Coturnix japonica: one gene and its partners. The protein of the gene in region 1 purifies or fractionates together with the protein of each later gene. This does not show direct contact. Links are inferred from orthologs where the notes say so. Each region holds a gene or a part of one and is shown on either strand. Other genes may lie near its edges.

What was found.
Region 2: the proteins of DDX20 (region 1) and GEMIN2 purify together in Homo sapiens (affinity purification with mass spectrometry; 6 studies listed by BioGRID and IntAct, counting the BioPlex papers as one, with this or other methods). This does not show direct contact. The link is inferred for Coturnix japonica from reciprocal best matches to the Homo sapiens genes DDX20 and GEMIN2.
Region 3: the proteins of DDX20 (region 1) and STRAP purify together in Homo sapiens (affinity purification with mass spectrometry; 3 studies listed by BioGRID and IntAct, counting the BioPlex papers as one, with this or other methods). This does not show direct contact. The link is inferred for Coturnix japonica from reciprocal best matches to the Homo sapiens genes DDX20 and STRAP.
Region 4: the proteins of DDX20 (region 1) and GEMIN5 purify together in Homo sapiens (affinity purification with western blotting; 6 studies listed by BioGRID and IntAct, counting the BioPlex papers as one, with this or other methods). This does not show direct contact. The link is inferred for Coturnix japonica from reciprocal best matches to the Homo sapiens genes DDX20 and GEMIN5.
Region 5: the proteins of DDX20 (region 1) and GEMIN4 purify together in Homo sapiens (co-immunoprecipitation; 7 studies listed by BioGRID and IntAct, counting the BioPlex papers as one, with this or other methods). This does not show direct contact. The link is inferred for Coturnix japonica from reciprocal best matches to the Homo sapiens genes DDX20 and GEMIN4.

What each region holds. Positions count from the first base shown.
Region 1 is NC_029541.1:3,411,388-3,415,404, reverse strand, and holds the start of DDX20 (probable ATP-dependent RNA helicase DDX20), read right to left. Parts: upstream 2,813-4,017; 5' UTR 2,778-2,812; coding exon 2,600-2,777; exon of another isoform or gene 2,593-2,599; intron 2,340-2,592; coding exon 2,245-2,339; intron 1,437-2,244; coding exon 1,268-1,436; intron 1,189-1,267; coding exon 1,074-1,188; intron 993-1,073; coding exon 850-992; intron 736-849; coding exon 597-735; intron 279-596; coding exon 220-278; intron 1-219.
Region 2 is NC_029520.1:34,102,038-34,106,323, forward strand, and holds the start of GEMIN2 (gem-associated protein 2), read left to right. Parts: upstream 1-1,485; 5' UTR 1,486-1,500; coding exon 1,501-1,739; intron 1,740-1,982; coding exon 1,983-2,067; intron 2,068-2,848; coding exon 2,849-2,938; intron 2,939-4,100; coding exon 4,101-4,160; intron 4,161-4,286. UniProt on the Homo sapiens protein: The SMN complex catalyzes the assembly of small nuclear ribonucleoproteins (snRNPs), the building blocks of the spliceosome, and thereby plays an important role in the splicing of cellular pre-mRNAs.
Region 3 is NC_029516.1:57,765,947-57,769,973, forward strand, and holds the start of STRAP (serine-threonine kinase receptor-associated protein), read left to right. Parts: upstream 1-1,226; 5' UTR 1,227-1,349; coding exon 1,350-1,461; intron 1,462-2,481; coding exon 2,482-2,617; intron 2,618-3,342; coding exon 3,343-3,424; intron 3,425-3,673; coding exon 3,674-3,746; intron 3,747-4,027. UniProt on the Homo sapiens protein: The SMN complex catalyzes the assembly of small nuclear ribonucleoproteins (snRNPs), the building blocks of the spliceosome, and thereby plays an important role in the splicing of cellular pre-mRNAs.
Region 4 is NC_029528.1:6,019,494-6,023,756, reverse strand, and holds the start of GEMIN5 (gem-associated protein 5), read left to right. Parts: upstream 1-1,451; 5' UTR 1,452-1,480; coding exon 1,481-1,631; intron 1,632-1,727; coding exon 1,728-1,882; intron 1,883-2,733; coding exon 2,734-2,915; intron 2,916-3,452; coding exon 3,453-3,604; intron 3,605-3,812; coding exon 3,813-3,944; intron 3,945-4,129; coding exon 4,130-4,262; intron 4,263-4,263. Other genes in the region: MRPL22 (39S ribosomal protein L22, mitochondrial), read right to left, coding at 1,214-1,259, 1,339-1,366. UniProt on the Homo sapiens protein: The SMN complex catalyzes the assembly of small nuclear ribonucleoproteins (snRNPs), the building blocks of the spliceosome, and thereby plays an important role in the splicing of cellular pre-mRNAs.
Region 5 is NC_029534.1:5,686,169-5,688,647, forward strand, and holds part of GEMIN4 (gem-associated protein 4), read left to right. Parts: coding exon 1-409; 3' UTR 410-2,479. UniProt on the Homo sapiens protein: The SMN complex catalyzes the assembly of small nuclear ribonucleoproteins (snRNPs), the building blocks of the spliceosome, and thereby plays an important role in the splicing of cellular pre-mRNAs.

The DNA of each region.
Region 1 (4,017 bases):
CTTGGGCAAGTATTCATAACATGATTCTCAAACAAACTAGAAGCTTCATCAAAGCAAAAATTGAACTAACATGCAAGTCTTAGAGACCATGAAGATTCTATTGCTCTTCTTAGTTATTCAAACAGAGGCCATGTAAATCAAGCTTTCAGGATGTATTTTCTTATGTTAGATCATATTTACACACCATTTCAACCAACAGAAAGTTCTAAACAGGTTTACCTGAAATGCACTCAGCAGGAAAGCCTCTGGATGTTAGTATTTCAGCTAGATGTTGAGCCCTAATAGAATATACACAATAAAAACAGTAATTAAGACTGCACATATAACAGCCCATGTATGTTCCTTAACACAACACTGTTCTTTACAGGCAAGGACTCTACTATCATCTTATGGACAGTTCCTTTATAAACAGACATGAGCAACAGATAATAGGACTCAGTGTAATCTAATGTACTTCTGTGCTGAAGTTTTACTGTTAACATTTCAGACTATTCCAACATTTCTGTCCTGTATTTCAGAAACCTGCATATTGCTTTGAGATCTTTAAAAAAGGTGTTAAAAAAAGACGCAAATTCATCCTTGAATGGGTTTATTACCTGCTATGCAAATTCGAGAAGACCAATGCTTGATTAAATGGAATCTTGCTGAACAACTCTTGCAGGTGCTGGGTTTTTTCCTCAAATGTTTTATGTGGAAGTGGATGCGAATTCACTATTTTATAATACTGCTTCAGCCCTGAGCATGAAACCAAGACAGTCATTAGATTAAGGATGTCCATAAAGACACAAAAGCTAAGCTGCTATTTTAGCTCACAATCTATTGACAACATGATCAATAAACACGACTCACCAATGAGACTAGGATCAGTAGGATTCAACCTCACAAACGTTGGTTCTCTCATGTACATTGTCAATGCATTAGCTAACGATTCAGGGTAAGTAGCTGAAACAGCAAGCATCTGTTTATTGGCTGGCAGTGAAGAGTAAATCCAACTATGAGAGACAAAAATGGGAATGAATAACAAAGATTAATCTAATCTGCAGATAAATACACAGGGTAAGTGGTTTTCTCACTTGATCTGCTCCTGAAAGCTGCCTTCTTCCAGCAGCTTGTCTGCTTCATCAAGAATGAAGAGCCGGATACTGGCAGTATTCAAGTAGTCCAACTCTATGAGCTGTTTTATTCGACCTACATATGAAGAAATACAAGTAAACTTAGCTTCTCAAATATTAACTTGAAGTTTAAGCTAAGTGAAGCATGCCCATACCTGGAGAGCCAACCGCTATGTGGCATTTCTTTAGCCGGACTTTATCCTGGCTCAAAGGAGTACCTCCAATGAAGACATGGCATTCCAAACCTTCCATTTTGATCCCAATGGTTGTGATAACAGCATGAATCTGCACAGCGATCTCTCGAGTTGGAGCCAAGATAAGAACCTGCGAGTAACAAACAGCTGTGTTTGAACACCACTGAACAGCTTGTAAGATCAAAGCACATCAAGTTGTGATGATTTAGAACCACAGGACGGTTTGGGCTGGAAGGGACCTTTAAGATCATCTAGTCCTAAATCCTCTGCTATAGGCAGGGACACCTCCCACTAGCCCAGGTTAATCACATCCCCATCCAGCTTGGCCTTCCAGGGAGGGAACCTCCACAACATCACTAGGCAACCTGTACCAGTGTCTCACCACCCTCACATTAAAGATATTCCTCTTAATATCTAGCCTTTGTGGTGCTCAGGGATATGATTTAGCGGAGGGTTTTTAGGGTTAGGATACTGGTTAGGCTGCGGTTGGACTTGATGATCTTCAAGGTCTTTTCCAACCCAGGTAATTCTATGATTCTATATCTCCACTTTAAAAGCATTTCCCTCCATCCTGTCACTATAAGCCCTTATAAAACACCCCTCCCTGCTTTTCCTATAGGAGAACCCACCAAGTAGTGGAAGGCTGATATAAGGGCCTGTCAGGCTGAAGAACCTCAGCTCTCTCAGCCTGCCCTCATAAGGGAGGTGCTCAGACTTCAAATACAGCTGTTTATATGCAACATACGAAGGGCTCGGATATGTTCTTAGCTATGAAAGTAATACAGCAGGCGTTAGAATACAAAGAAGAAGAAGGAAGGGGATAACTTCTATAGGTGCACACAGAACGAAAAGAGCCCCATAGAACAGAATGCCCCTTCCACAACATGAAGAGACCACCTCCATAAGGCCTCGGAACCAGGTTCTGTACCAGGTCTCACCTGCGTGGCCGGGCTGTCCAGCAGCAGCGAATCCAAAGCGATGGTGGAGAAGACACAGGTTTTACCGGTACCGGACTTGGCCTGTACGATGAGATCTAAAAAGAACCCATATATATCAATGGGAAAGGCCTCTCACACCCCCCAGAACCCATATATATCAATGGGAAAGGCNAGAACCCATATATATCAATGGGAAAGGCCTCTCACACCCCCCAGAACCCATATATATCAATGGGAAAGGCTTCTCACAGCCCCCAGAACCCATATATATCAATGGGAAAGGCCTCTCACACCCCACAGAACCCATATATATCAATGGGAAGGCCCTCTCACACCCCCGAGGCCTACCGCTCACCCAGCCCACAGCGCCCCAACGGAATGGCCTTTAGCTGCACAGGAGACGGTCTATGGAAGCCAGCCGCCTCCAGCCCCTCCAGAACCGGAGGCGATAACAGCAACGAGCCGAAATCAGACGGGCCACCGGGCAGCAACACATCGCGGGTGCGGAACCGGCCTTCAACGGGGGCCGCCATCTTGAGAGCCGGAAGAGATCGCTCGCTTTATCACGCGAGAATTCAGCGCCCGCCGCACCGCTAGGGGGCGCTATAGGCGCATTGCGCTGTGTGTTATCAGTGCTTATCAATGTGTGTTATCAGGCTGTGCTTATCTATGTGTGCTCTGATCTGTCCTGCATAAAAACGCTGCAAAATAAAGCCACAGTGCAGCAATGCACCTCAACCACACGCTGCTTGTCATCCTGACACCTCCAGGAAGCCTCAGTGTGCGGTGGTCTGCAGTCAGAATGCAATTCGTTCATCCTGTTTGCATTTATAAGGCAAAATAAGTGGCTGAGTCGATTTGGTTATTATCTATTTGCTGTTATTTGGTTGTTTCTTAGCATGAAATGAGATGTTCCTATAGATATCTGAGCACACAACAGCCCTGCAGGGAGGGCAGATGGTGGTGGCAGGGCTGGGGTGACATCCAGCATCCTCTTAACCCCATTTGTTCTTTAATTGCTAAGTGGATATTCCCCTTTGGGTCCTCAAAGTGGAAACGGGTCTCCAATGAGATGATTCTCTGGATACATCCAGGAAAGGAGAGGGACAAGGAGATGTAAGAAAAGCTTTGGTTAAAGGCAGCCTCTTATAACCCTTTTAAATTGATGTGATTCAAGCAGACAACAGAGAGCAGTCAGGACTATCTGTGCTCAGTGGGGAAAGGCAGAGAAGAGGTGATAAAACATCCCCGTGCAATGAGCTGCTCCTCCTTTCTGCTTCCCTCACCTCTCCCTGAGATATCGGGCGTGTTGGGGTCTGGATGCAGAGATCACTGTCCTCTGCCATGTAGACAGACACATCACCTTAATTCACAAAGACACCAATGTCTGTGGAGGCTTAATCAATTTTCTGAGCCCTCCACTGGAGTTTGGAGGGAGGGATTCCAAACAGACTCAGTGTTTCTATGCTGCATTGCCCATCTCCACTTGTTTTTGTGGCTGCATCAGATCAGCTCCTGCAGTACTCACACAATCTATGGCTGAAAGCTGTGGCACAGGCTCTGTCTCTTTACTTTTGCATGACATCCAAAGTAACACCAGACCCCATAAGACTAACACGTGGAGTGCAAAGAAACATCCATGCATCTCAAGTACCAGCACTGAGTACTCACTACAGATTCATCCATCTCTTTGTAACTTATTCTCCATCCACTACAGCTAAATTCCCTTATTAACTCTTTGTAAACACTCACAAAGAATTTCTACTGGCTTCC
Region 2 (4,286 bases), on another chromosome or scaffold:
AAAGTTTTAGGTAGCACTGAATGTACAATCCAGTTTTTGTCTTTGTTGTTGTTGCTTTTCTGGGTTCTATACCATGACTATCCACAGGATTGTTTGCCGGCTCTCTTTAGTCTACAAACATGAGTAGCCAAACAAAAGCACATCTGGAAGAGAGGGTTTTAATACTCACTGCCCTTGATTCCCAATGCCAGCTGTGGGAGTATCCAGCTGGATGGTGCCGAGGACATGGCATGTATGGTATTTCTCATGAGTTGTTAGCACAGTTAAATGCCATTACATAAGAACCAAGAGAAGCAAAGAGAGGCAATAACAGCAACACTGTCGACGTGTCAGATGTTCTTAGGCAGCAGTGCATGGCCGCAGGTAGCAGCTCACCTTTTATGTGGAAAATAATGGCTACGCAGCTGAGAAACAGCTATGATACTCTGCTCCAGGTGCTTATTCCTCTTCTTCCACTGAATTCCATTGACCAGCTGTTGCATCGACATCGCTGCTAAAATCCGTGATAGTTTTGTTGTTAGATTGCCTGCAATCGTTTTGCAAAGTTACTTGGATTAAATGGTATCAATCAGAAGTTCCAGCAAATAATATGTACAGAAAATATATTAAAAAACAAACCAAACCCAAACATTTGTATTTCTGGCATCTCTTTCCGTTCAAAGACCTTGACTCCGTGACAGATAGAAAAATATAACTTCAGAATATGACCAAAGCTTTAGAAGAGGACTCCTCAGTTTTACTCACCGTTGTTTTTGCTTGGACTGTTGGTCAGCGGGGCCATTGCTGTGGCTTTGGGCTCGCTGGACTTATGTCCAGCAATGACTGCAGCTGTTGCACTCAAGCAGGATGTGAAATCCGGGCTCCCTGTTACACGTAAGTGGATTTAGAAACACCTTAAAGCAAACAAAAGGTCAGCGGAGAGGAGGAGTTAAGGCTGATGTTTGTTTGGAACTGCTAACCTACAGTCTTATGGGAAAATAAAGGACAAAACCGAGGTCAATGTAAGAGGCTGTTCTGCTGTATGGGCTGCATTTAGCACACTGATGACATGCTGTACTAAGAAACAACAATACACAGGAGTTTAATAAGGGACAATTTACACTATTTCAGTAAGTACAGCATTGTCCCTCTGTGTTTTACCTGAGAAGTAACCCACCTCAGTGCTACTGCTGCTTTGATTTGGGATAAACCCATCCAGAAACAAAATGAAACCTCAGCCAAACGCTTCCAGGACTACACCTGGATTTACAGCAGTGACCTTTTAGGCAATTAATTTGCACTGTAGGTCTCTAGACGTGACAAGGAAGGGATAAGAATTATTACTGCCCTTCCACGGGCGGAATAGACAGTATGGGTGAGTTGTGAAGAGCTACTTGCGAAAGCTAAGGTAGGTAATGACGCGGGGCCTAAATGTGGTTATCAGAGGTGCCGTCCAGCTCAGTAACGGGGTTATCGCTGTGGCCGGTTCCCCGGCAGGACGGCACAGTGCACAGCCCCGCAATGGCCGTAACGCCCGGGCACGGCGGCGGCGCTCCGCCTGCGCGAGGAACGTCTCTCGCGAGAGCAGCCGGGCCGGCGGCCGGCGGGGAGAGGCGGGTCGGCCGTGTCGGCGGGGCGATGGAGGCGGCCGTGGAGGAGCTGATGCCGCGGCTGCTGCCCGTGGAGGACTGCGACCTGCCCGACGACTTCGACCCCAGCGTGCCGCCCCGCACGCCGCAGGAGTACCTGAGGCGCGTCCAGTGAGTGGAGGGACGGGGGTTGGCGGCGGGCCGGTCGGGCCTCACTTCAAGGCAGTTTAGGAGCATGCAAACATAAGTGCAGTTGTTTATAAAGAGTTAATTCTGAAGTCAGACCTTCTGTAACAATTGCCCGTGGAGTCAGTTGGTTTTTGCATAAGTGAAGATTTCTGCAGGTGCCGTATATCAGAGGCATTCGTCCTATAACTGCCCATTGCAATACAGTGGTTTGGTTTTATTTTGTAGGATCGAAGCAGCGCGATGCCCAGATGTGGTCGTGGCACAAATAGACCCCAAGAAACTGAGAAAGAAGCAGACAGTAAATATTGCAGTAAGTTTGGGCTGCTCTATTCCTTTTGCTATAAGAAACAAGCAGCAGGAAAGATAGGGAGGTCATAAGCATAACTGAAACAGCAGCTTTGCTGGATCTTAAAGCTCCTAATGAAATAAATAAAACTTTAGGGTTCGAAGAAATACCTGTTGAGTTTCTGGGCAATAAGGAGTCTTTGTAGCTGATCAGTGTAAATCAGCCATAGCCCTACTAACTGACACACAGCAGACTTCTTTTTGCCTGAAGGAATCAAATGCTGAGCCAAATTCTACAAGTCTATCTTAAAGCATGTGTGAGCTTTAGAAGAAAGCAATATCTGTATCTAGATTCAAAGACCCTGAAGATCATATATAGATGTATGTAAGGCAGTAAGAGCAGTAAGTACAGCTAACGTAAGATGAAATGTTAGCACCATTTCTTCACTTGTTGATGGAATTTCTTATTGGGATTTCCCCTCTGTTAATAAAAAGGAGCACTCTCCTTTTTATTCACAGGGAAGTTAAAGCAGAATAGGTGCTAAAAACATGACCTTAAATGATTCTTCAACAGCACATTCTGTGTGTTTAATTTTCCTTCTTTGCATACATGCACCATCAAGCAGGATGAATTTTGTCCAGACTAACTGTTAAATCAGTTGTCAGGAAATTGCCTTTCTTAAAGCGAGTACTTGTATTTTTATCTGCTGGCAGTCTGTCGTTGTTGTTTACTACTTCTCTTGTTCTTTAAGGATTATTTTTATAAAGCTTTTTATACATTATAATTATTGCCAGTGTTTTCTTAGATTTCTGGCTGTCAGCCTGCTCCGGAAGGATACTCTCCAACACTCAAGTGGCAGCAGCAGCAAGTGGCCAATTTCTCATCTGTTCGTCAGGTAGAAAATTCTGTGTGTGATGGAGACTGGAGGGATGCTTTAAACTTGCACATCTGTGCTTTAGGGGGGACAACCTTCTATCTTTCCTGCCATAAAGCCATGACATTTTGATCAGATGTTGCTAGTCAACTGCTTTAATTTCTTAATAAAAATAGAAAAATAAAATGTGAATATACTGTGAGGCTTTTAAACTTCTGATGAAACTCATTCCTGAGAGTCAACTCTTTGAAAAGGTAGATAATGGCAGGACAAGGGGAAATGGTTTTAAGTTAGAGGGAAGATTTAGGTTGGATGTGAGGGGGAAGTTCTTTACTATAAGAGTGGTGAGTGCTAGAACAGGCTGCCCAGAGTGGTTGTGGATGCCCCATCCCTGGAGGTGTTCAAGGCCAGGCTGGATGGGGCCCTGGGCAGCCTGGTCTATTATTAAATGTGGAGGTTGGTGGCACTGCCCGTGGCAGGGAGATTCATGACATTTTGATCAGATTCATGATTGGAGATTCATGATCCTTGAGGTCCCTTCCAACCCAGGCCATTCTGTGGTCCTGTTAAAGCAAAAATATCTGGCAGTATTTACACTGAATGATACATAGCACTCCATGAAGGACAGAAATCACTGTGATGTTACACAGTGACACTAAAATCAACAGTGTTCTACGTTGTTCTGTAGAACTATAGAACAAGTAGATTCCAACCTCACCATGAGCTTCATATATGTAAAACACTGTCCATTTAGAGTCCTATGGGCACTAGTGGGAGCCATTATGTTCAGAAATACCGATCTGCTAAAATGGATTTGCAGTGCGGAGGTAGTGTTAGCACAGACTTTCCTACCACATTTGTATCTTGCTTTGACAGAAAAGAATTGAAGAACTGAGCAGTCTCTCTCTATACACTGTTCAAACAGGGTGTATATGAAGATTTTAAGACTAGTAAAACTTACTACTTAAAACGTCATGCAGTAGACTTTACAATTCCTTTGACTTTAATATTATTTCCAAAAACCCAGTATAAGAAACAGTTATATTTATACTAAGAGGCTTGATGAATATGTGCTCAGTAATGCCTTTACTGATTTCAAAACATACTTTTTTAAGTGAAGATAAGATTATGGCTAGGATCCAATAACTGTAAAGTTAAAACTGATTTGGCTTTAATTATTCAGAGCCTGAACAAGCACAGAAATCACTGGCGGTCACAGGATTTGGACAGCAATGTTAACATGGTAAGTAGAATTCTTAACAGTTCTGTTTTTTCTAGTCATTACATTTGTGGTTAATTTTGTTTTACAGTGTAATTCAACAACTGGTATTATCATGTCTGTTCTTTGGTGTCTTCAAGATAGCTATAT
Region 3 (4,027 bases), on another chromosome or scaffold:
CAAGCTGAAATCACAATCAAAAAGTCACCCCAGAGCAGAATCTCTCAGCTAGAGCGGTGACGTGCTAATAGATATGTACGGAGCTCCCCTCAGTGGCAAGAGAAGGCATTTTCAACATTGTTATCTAGCGCAGGAGCAGAAAGGAATCTTTGGAAATGTAAATATGTACACCAAACTCCTTGATTCAATCTCTGCTTGATCTACTTTAATCAAAGCACTAGAAACATGATTTTTCACTAAGATAGCTTTATTCATGTTCAGCAACGATTTCTAAGAAAATTCAATCACTGTGAAAAGATGTTTCTAATCAAGCAAATATTATAAGTCACCAGTGACAGAGTCAGGCCCAGGTGCTTTATAACATCTGATTGGCACACTTGCTATTCTGTGCAGTGATGGGGTGAATTGCTCTATATGATTACAAGTCCCTGATTACTTCCTGACAAGCTGGAGTTAATGAATATTTATTTAATTCTATTGGATAATTGTCTGGATAATGAACAGATAAATATGAAACACTGAATAAAAAAATGTGATGTTTTTTTTTCCCCCTTACTTTCCTGCTGTCTGATACACAACAACCTTGACTAAAAACCAAATAAAACAAAATCTTACTATTTTTATTCTAAGCTTGTGAGGCTTTCATTTGTAAATATCTACTCTTACCACCTTTCCTATTTCCAGTAATATCTCCAGCCTTTCTTGAAGACCTGAGTGCCTGTTTTTCACTTTGAGGTTTCTCTTAGAATCTTTGTATTAAAAGTTGTCTAGTCTGAATGCACTGAATTAATCCATTTCTAAACCAAAGATTGTCAGACTGTAGGGAATAAACACACCTAAACGTTAGTGTTACAATGGATTTAAGAGGCAGGGATAATCTCTTTGGACTTTAGTACTTAATCAAATTTTGATTGGTATGATGTGGTCCCCTGTAACATTCCCTCCAAATTGGAAATAAATGGATTTGATGGGCAGACTGTCTGACAGATGAGGAACTTGTGAGATAGTATGCAGACAGAGGTGGTCAGTGGCTCAGTGTCAAGGTGGAGATCAGTGACGATCCCATAAGAGTCAATACTGGGGCTAATGCTCTTCAATATGTTTATCAATTACATCAATGGTGGGATCTCCTCCCCAGAGCAGTTTCCTCTTTGAACACCACAGCTCACGTACCGGCTACCAGCACTTCCCCTTCCGCACCCGCTCTCTGACGTATTTCCTCTCCGGAACGCTTCCTCCGCCGTCATTTCCTCCGCTGCCGCCAACACCGCGGTCGCCGTTTCCCACCCGGCTGGAGTGTAGCCGCGTCCCCGCCCAGCTCCCTGCGCGTCCCGAGCTCAGCCGCCGCCATGGCCATGAGGCAGACCCCGCTGACGTGCTCCGGGCACACGCGACCCGTGGTGGACTTGGCCTTCAGCGGCGTCACCCCTTACGGCTACTTCCTTATCAGTGCCTGCAAGGGTGAGCGTGGCTGGGGGGGCGAGGGGTGGGCGGCCGTGCTCGTTTCACCGGCCCCTTTCAATAGTCGCAGTGGCTGGGCCTGCTCCGCACTGAGGCCTTGTGGGTTGCGGGCCGCTGTTGGCGGGTTGCGCGTGGCTGTGGCCATAGCCACCTATTTGAGAGGTTTGCGATGGGGAGAGTGGGGAGGAGGGTTGAGGTGAGCGTTCAGTGGGCCCTCCGTGTTCTAAATACCTGCTTCCAGCGTGACCAGATGGAAAAGGGAACCGGTGGGAGGCTGGTTCTGCCGGGTTTTAGCCCGCAGGGCTTTGAGGCTCCCATTCATTCAGGCTGAATCCCACTTGCGAAGGAAAGGCTTGAAAATCGTTATCTGAAAGTAGCTATAACTTTTACACACTTTAAAACCAGCTCCTTTGCAACCAAGGTAGCTGCCTTGCTGATTGCGGAGCAGTGATTTCTGCTTCCTTTCCCACAAGAACTCTCTTCTGCTTATTTATGAGAGTAGCATTTTCATTTCTATGCATATGAGTTAATGTTCACTTGTGTTCACAAGTGTAAAAGAACATTCCTCGATGTCTCTGAGGACTTAATGTTCAGCTCTATTCATTGCATGAATTATATCTGGTTGTGTCCTAGCAAAAAATAGTCACAGTAAAGGCTTTCTATTTCGTTATTACAGCATATCTCTTTGTGTTTTAAACATCTCTCATTACAAACCCCAGACTCCTTTTTTGTGTACTGTTAGTCTGAAAATATTGTTCTAAAATGAATTGAACTGACCTGCCCAAGGAACACTTGGCTATATTAGAAAAGAAAAAACAGCAAAAGGTGCTCCTTTTCAGAGGTGCATCTGTACATTTAAGTTCTTCAGCTATACCATTTCACAGTGTATATGGTGTTTCCATTAAGGGAGGCCAGTCTGGTGGCAGTTTGATTGCTCCATGTTGGTGTGAGGGAATTGTTTCCTAACACAGCTTGCTTTTTTTGTTATGTTGTCTGAATATTGGTTTTGTTTTTCCAAAGATGGAAAGCCTATGCTACGTCAGGGTGACACAGGAGACTGGATCGGCACTTTCCTAGGTCATAAAGGTGCTGTCTGGGGTGCTACGTTGAACAAAGATGCCACTAAAGCAGCTACAGCAGCCGCAGATTTTACAGCGTAAGTGATTACCTGCTTTTGGAGTCTTGATTTTAGTCAATAGCCTTTTTTTTTAATATGGCTGTAGTAAGTTGCTGTGGTTTTGTTTTTGTTTAAGTTGTTACTTTATATCTGTATTACAGCCTAGAATTTAAGGTTTTTATGAGTAGCTACAGCTAATTCTATCTTGCTGAGCAACTGTGGTTGCTTCTTGACATATATACTTAGTTATAGTGCTGATTTATTGGAATAAACAATGCTGTGCAGTTCTCGACTTCAGTACTGTAGTTATACGAGAGTGGCAAGAGTGATCTTCGTTTTGTGTACCACTTTTTATTAGAAGAAGACATGCAGAAATATTAATGAATTATTTCTTTTATTTTTGTTTTGCTTGTTTGAACTGTTTGCAGCATACATTAATATATTTGACAATTCAAATCCTGTTATTAGAATTAAGTCCATAAAAGTTGCAGAGAAGAGCTGCCTTTGTTTGTCTTAAATCTAAAATGCTGCTGATGTGTTATCCTGAAGAAATTAGTGAAAGAAAATGATGGGTCAGTAACAAGAAATTCTTCAGTGAAAGAATATGAGGTCTGTAGTTCATTACAATGTAGCATTTAGGATTAAAAATGTTATGATAGTATCAGGAAGGATTGTATAGGGTAGATTAGGAGAGACAACTTAACTTGTGTGTTCACATTTATCCTGGAGCTATTGAAATGTACGTGTTCTCTCTTGTCATTTAGCAAAGTGTGGGATGCTGTGTCGGGAGATGAACTAATCACATTGGCTCACAAACACATTGTCAAAAGTGTGGATTTTACACAGGTATGGAAAATCTTTATAGCATATTCAACAGAGAGGTAAGGTCTTCGGCATATTTTTTTATTTGCTACTTTTTTTATACATATGCTTAGGCTGGCAAGTAATTTAGCATGCATTTAAGCTTTGCTCTTACAAACAAGTTGTAATAAATGTTTTAGAAACTGAGAGAAATAACTGGTATTTTAAGGCTTATGGATGAAGGCTGGTATTTCAATTCAAAGTAGAGTTGACCCTTTATAACTTCTGTTTCAGGATAGCAATTATCTGTTAACAGGTGGACAAGATAAATTGTTGCGTATCTATGATTTAAGCAAGCCGGAAGCAGGTGAGTCTGCACTTACAACTGGTTACTGTTGGTTTTGTTTGGTTGATTTTTCTTGCGTGTGAAATTTGTTGTGAATCACAAAAGACACACTTGAGGCTCGTTGTACAAAGAATGTGTCTATAACAGTTTTCTATACTAAATCAAATTGTTTTAGTCTTTGAAGTAAAATAGAGCTTATCTATGAAGAGATTTAAGGATAGTGTGATTGACTTTAACAGGGACTTAACTATGACTAGGTCTGAATAAAGTTACACTACCCGAAAGGCAAAAGACTTTTCATA
Region 4 (4,263 bases), on another chromosome or scaffold:
AGAGAGGAAAAAGGACACATACACATTGCAGCAAAAACAAGGGGACAAGCAAAAGAAGTTTTGATACTTTACAACCAGGGGGTTCTTTTACATAAGTTTTCTACTATGTAACTTTACAGGAAGAAGCATGCATAAACAACAGGTGGGAGACGCACAGAATAGAAGAACTGATCGGGGAAAGCAATTCAGTTGAGCTGAAGGACAGTAACACAGGAACATCACATGGCTTTATTTCACTTTCTTCAGTGACACTGCTCTGTGATTGACCTCCAATGGCTCCAGCAGAGACCAAAGCTCTGCACTTTGAGTACCACACACTCAGCTTCACTTCTGGAACTGGGGATGCAGCGGGCAACGACCAGCACCCCCCAACATGCTGCTCCTCCAGAGCAGAGGATTGGTCGCTGTAGGAGAGCAGGGACCGAGGAGAGTCGGGCACAAGAGATATGACCTTACTGCACTCTGAACCAAGCACAGAATGGGGCCCAATGAGAGACACAGAGCCCAAGCGCAGAGGAGGATGGGGAGCAGCCCAACGCACACAGCCCACACCCACAGAATCACAGAATGATCCGGGTTGGAAGGGACCTCAAGGATCATGTAGTTCCAACCCCCCTGCCTGGCAGGGCCACCAAACATACACCTTTACTAGATCAGGTTGCCCAGGGCCCTGTCCAACCTGGCCTTGAACACCTCCAAGGACGGGGCATCCACAACCTCCCTGGGCAGCCTGTTCCAGGGCCTAACCACTCTCCTAGTAAAGAACTTCCCCCTGACATCCAACCTAAATCTTCCCTCTTTTAACTTAAAACCATTTCCCCTAGTCCTGCTTTTATCAGCCCTTTCGAAGAGTTTACTCCCCTCCTGGGAGTAAGTTCCCTTCAGGTACTGAAAGGCTGCAATGAGGTCACCCCGCAACCTTCTCTTCTCCAGGCTGAACAAACCCAACTCCCTCAGCCTGTCCTCATAGGGGAGGTGCTCCAGCCCCCTGATCATCTTCATGGCCCTCCTCTGGACCCTTTCCAAAATCTCCATGTCTTTCTTGTACTGAGGGCTCCACACCTGGACACAGTACAACAGATGGGGCCTCACAAGAGCCGAGTAGAGAGGGACAATCACCTCCCTATCCCTGCTGACCACCCCTCTCCTGATGGAGTCCAGGATCCCATTTGCTTTCCGGGCCTGCTGCAGGACGGCAGAACCCCGGACTCACCTCTCCGGCCGAGCCCAGCCGAGAATCCCCCGCATCCAGGCTCCACCTGCAAGGAAGAAACAAGGTGAGCTCGGGTAGAAGCGAGTGAAACTCGCGGGACACCGCTCTCATCCCCTCACGCTCACCAGCACCTCCCGCACACCGCGCCGCCATCTTCCCCTCCTCGCTTTACGGCGGCCGCTCCCTACGCATGTGTAACCAGGCGGGAAGACTGCCTGTTTTTGCGACACTTTGCGACGCTGTGCTCGGCGGGAGCGGCGTGCAGGCATGGCGGCAGCGGTGCGAGTATTGCCCGCATCCCCCAACTGGTACTGCAGCCGGTGCAGCCACACCAGCGGCGACGGGCGGCTCTTCGGCTTCGCCGCCAGGCACCGGATCAGCGTGTTGGATGTCAGCACCGCTACGCCGACGTTTCACGGTACGGCCTCGACCCCCCCTCCTCCCTCTGCGTTTATATAGGAGCGGCCGAGCTCCCGTTGGAAATGGCGTTCTCACGGGGCTTATCCCGGTGCAGGGGAGCTGATCGGGCACACGGAGCGAATCGCCGCCTTCGCCTTCTGCCCGCACCGCGAGCACAGCGCCCTGTGCGCCAGCGGAGCCGACGACGGCAGCGTGAGGCTGTGGGACGCGGTGGAGCTCGAGCAGAGGGGAGAGCACGGCCTGCACCAGGTGGGACCGGAGCGATGATGCTTGAGGTGCTGGGTGCTGCTTGTTCCCATAGCCTGAGGTGTACGCTGCCGTTACAGCATCGTAATGGGATGCTGGATGCTGTTAGCACCTCCTTGCTGCCGCACCCAGCTGGCTTTGCAGCCTCCTGGTGTTTCCAGTTAGTGCATCTCAGGATGCTGGTAGATAAATGGTAACTCAAACAGTTTAGAACAGGGAGTGCTTGTAGATTAGTTGCTTGTTATCCTGTGCTATACAGTCAGAATGGTTGGCTTTGGGGTTCAGGGGAGCCTCTGTGAGCAGCACAGGGTGCTCCTCAGGGGCTACTCTCAGCTCATTGTAGAAAGTGTGGTGCCAGATCTTCTCCATATCATCCCAGTGTAAAAGTGTTAAAGGTGTATGTTTGGTGGCCCTGCTAGGCAGGGGGGTTGGAACTACATGATCCTTGAGGTCCCTTCCAACCCGGGTCATTCTGTGATTCTGTGTAATGGTTGAGTTGGAAGGGACTTCGATGATCTCTAAGGTCCTTTCCAACCTGCACAAGACCGTGATACTGTGTGACTTCAAAGCCCATCTGGTTCCAACCCACTTCTGTGGGCAGAAACACCTCCCACCATATCAGCCATCATCCACGGCCTTGAGCACCATCAACAATGGGGCATCTTATGGGCCTCACCTTCCTCTGAGGATGATCTCTAGGCAGGCTGTTAGAGCAAGTTTTCCATCCCAAAAGAGCCAACTGCTAAATGCACTTTGCTTTATTTTGTGCTTCAGTTCTTTAAAGAACCCACAAAATGAATTCAGTGGCTAAGCGTGCTCAATGGCTTTACATGTATTCAATTGCCTTTCTTCAGAATGCAATCACAGCGTTACACTGGTCACCCCTTGTGAAAGATCTGATTGTGTCCGGTGATGAAAAAGGGGTAATTGTTTGCTACTGGCACAGCAGAAACGACAGCCAGCAATTCTTCCCAGAGCCTCGGACAATCTTTTGTCTCACTTGTTCTCCTCATCATGAAAACCTGGTGGCTATTGGGTAAGTGTTACGTTTTACTTTCCGTTCTTCCATCTCAAAGTGTCTTGTAAATTAGATTTCATTAACATTCCTCACATTACAGGTTACATCATCTGAAGAGAGTTTCATAGCTTTACTGTCTCTTTACCAACAGCTGCCATTTCAGTCCTTTGGACACCTAAGACTACTGAACAAAGCAGGAACATGAAAGCCTTTCAAAAGAGATGAGAGAGAATTAAAGTTATTTGTGGAAAAGGGAACAGCTTTCCTTATATAAAAGTCTCTATTACTTTATAAGGCTCTGAAAACTGTATTGCTGATAAATTGGTGTTGTTCTTGGAGCCAAATATACTCCCTGGTTGCACTTCACAAACAGAAGGCAGCTGTGTTTGTGCTAGTGCTACACTTGAGCTCCAGTTGACTGGTCTCATTGCCACTTGTGATTGGGCTTCTCTGTAATGTGGAGACACTGATCCTGGGTAATAGCTTGCAAATCAGATTAGTTGTTATTCCGTGAGGGTTTAACAATCTATCATTAACTGAAATCTCTGTTTTTAGCTACAAGGATGGCATGGTGGTTATAATTGATATCAGCAGGAAAAAAGAAGTTCTTCATCGGTTAAGAGGTCACGATGATGAAATTCATTGTCTGGCCTGGTGTCCTGTACCTGGAGAAGGAAGGTTACCTGCTTGGCAAGATGAGCTCCAAGGTACGTAGAAGTGATACGTAGTTTGTGAAGTGATACTTAGCTCAGGAGAATGTCCCTGTGGAGAACTAAATTCCTTATCCCTGTAAGGTCAGTAGGTAGCTAATCAGAGGTAACTAGTTCAAGTAAAATATTTTCTGATCCAGAGTAGTAGATTTTCAATTAACGTTTAGAGCTTTGAATTCCAAAGTATAATAACAGACTTCAATGGTGTTTCCTTCAGAAGAAGGTGATGTTCCAAACGGGGAGCTGAAACAAGATACAGCCATGAAGAAAAGTTGTTACTTGGCTTCAGGAAGCAAAGATCAGACAATACGGATATGGAGCTGTACTAGAGGCAGAAGTAAGTAAGATTAATCATTTGAGTGAGACAACAACATAGGTGAAGTGCTCCTTTCTAACTGTGGGTTTCATTTGCTAACTCAATAGTTTAAATAGTGGGGAGCCTACTTAAAGTTCAGATTCTCAGGTCTTTTTTTCTGAGAATTTGGATGTACAAAGTCGAGACGATCCCTTTCTTTTCCAAAGGTGTAATGACTCTGAAGTTGCCACCCACAAAGAGAAGAGGTGGAGCTGTTGATCCTGCTGTTAAAGAGCGCATTTGGCTCACTGTCCACTGGCCTTGTGGTCGTCCTACAGAAATTGTATCCAGCTCTTTTGGG
Region 5 (2,479 bases), on another chromosome or scaffold:
CTGTTCCAACTGGTTGCCACCACAGGCTTGGCTCCATGTGGTCCAACTGTACTGCAGCAGCCTCACAGACCTGCTGAGCTCCATCAAGAGCACCACAGGGCCCCCCTTGCACCCTGCTGAGCACAGGAGCTCCGGGGAGGAGGTGTCCTTTGTCTGCATCCAGGTGTTTTGCCACCTCCTGCACATTGCAGCCATGCTGCCTCCAGACAGTGAGTGTAGTGAGCCGCTGGTGGTGGTGGCCTTGGAGGTCCTCTCTCAGTATGAGGTATTCAGTTCTGCTGATACGTCCCCCAGCAACGTACTGAGGAGAGCCAATGAGAAGCATTTCCTGGAGTCCATCACTGACAATATCAGTGACAAGGCTTTGCGCAGCCCCCTCCTGCAGAAGCTCAGCAAGCTGGGTGCTTAGGGCAGCCTGCTTGGCCAGGGACAGCACGAAGAGCCGAAGGGAGAATCAGGAGAGCACTGACCCTGCTGCAAGGGACCACTATGTGGAAAACTGTAAGATCCGTAATAAACCTCATCTATTTTTCACTTTTGAACTAATTTCTTCCCTGCTCTGTTCCCTCCAAACCTGTCTAAACAGCAAAGCAGCCACATAAACAGCTGTAGACACAACTACTGCTGCTGCGAGCTCAGTCCCTTGGCCCCAACCTTGCTTAATATTGGTCTGGAGTTTCACTGTGCTCACAAAAAGCCTCTGGCACCAGGAAAGTACTTCTGTCAGGCTGTCCTCTCCTCGCTGTGGCTGCACTGCTGTTTGTGCCAAAGCAGGATGCTCTGCGGGATGAGCAGGCACCTTGGGCAATAGGTGTGGGCTGCTGCCCCAGGGTGGGTGCACAGTGGCAAACTGCTGCCTAAATGCCTCCCCACCCAGCAATGAATGGCACGTGGGAGGGAGGCATCCGGTGGTGTGACTCAAGAAAGAAGTCTTTATTGATCTCTTCTGATAGGTACAGTAGTAAATAGGGCAGTGTTAGTGCAAACTGAGATGCCTCAGTGACTGTCTTTACATAAGGCACATTATCTGTAATAAAAACAGCAATATACAAATATTTGCAATGGGTAGCAAGCGGTTTATAACAGCAGCTTGTCTCAATGGTTAATGTAACAGTAGTGCTTGTGCAATAACCGACTGCGTGCTGGAAGAGGCTTTTGTAAAATCATTATTATTCTTTCCAGCCTGTACAGCCATGGCTGGGACAAGATCTGACACCCAGAAGAAATGGTTCTCCCAGCCTGGGCCCCTTCCAGCCATCCTTTTTAGCTTTTAGACAGAATGAAAGGCACAGAGTGGGTGCTGGTCTATCAACTGCTGGTGCAGCTGGATGCTCTGGAACAGAGGAAACTCCAGGCTTGTGCAGGAGGCTGTGGGGAGGACCTGGCTGCTCAGTTTTATGCTGTGTTCAGAGAAAGAAGGGCACCTGTCCAGTTTGTGTATGTCTGCTGGTGGTGCTGGTTCCTCACGCACTGAGCAGTTCCTTCCCTGCCAGGTTCAGGCAGGTCTCCCTTTGTAGGGGACCAGGATGGGGCAGGAAGGACAGAGCTGGAGCTCAGGCTGTACCCAGAGTGCTGCTGGTGTCAGCTGAAGGGAGAGCAGGGGCAAGGAAACATGTTGGGCTTTCAGTTACCTGATAGAGGTAATGAGGCAGATGAACCCATCCCCTTATGCAACTGCAGCCAGGCAAGGGGGTTGAAACCAGCCATCACCTGCCATAGAAGGGCTCTGTGTTGGTGGGATAGGGACTTTGCAATCTCCTGCCCTTCAGTGATGGCTCTTGCCTGCCTGGCTTGCTCTGACAGAGTGCAACCAATCCTTGGATCCTGCTGGGGCTCCAGAGCTGCCCTACTCCCTGTCAGCCACAGACATCACAGTGGTACTGAAAATCCCCTTCGAGTTAAGTGGAGAGTCCTAAGTAAGCTTGAGCCCAGCAGCAGCAAGGTGTGGGCAAGTCAGAAGCTGAATGCAACTGTAGTGTAAAGGCACCATTGGGGAACAGGCTGTGCAGAATCACAGGGCCTGGTTTTGCTCCCTGCTGGAGGAGCAGATCTGAGCCCAGCAGGGACAGCACGCAGCTCCCACATCCCCAGCACTGCTGCTTGGGGCTGGGCATGCTCCAGCATCGCCTACACTGCTGCATCCACTCCATGAGATCCTTTGTGCAGTGCCTCACTCTGTGCTGCCATCAGCTCTGAAAGATGAGGGATCTGTAACAGTCCCTTCTCATGTAACCATTAGTTTGGTGCTGCAGCATTGAACCCTAGAAGGAATGTTATGCTTATGGGGAGACCTCTTCCTTGCTCAAGGTGCAGGAGCAGCGTGGGAGGAAAGTCCCCCTAGTTGAGACCAGCACTGCTGACAGCAGGGCTGCCTCATGGCATCGATGCTGCTGTGCTCCCACGATGGTTCCTGCAGCTCTGACTTTGCAGGCAGAAGAGCTGTGGGGGGGAACAACCCTTCTCCAGCCCTCGTGCTCCG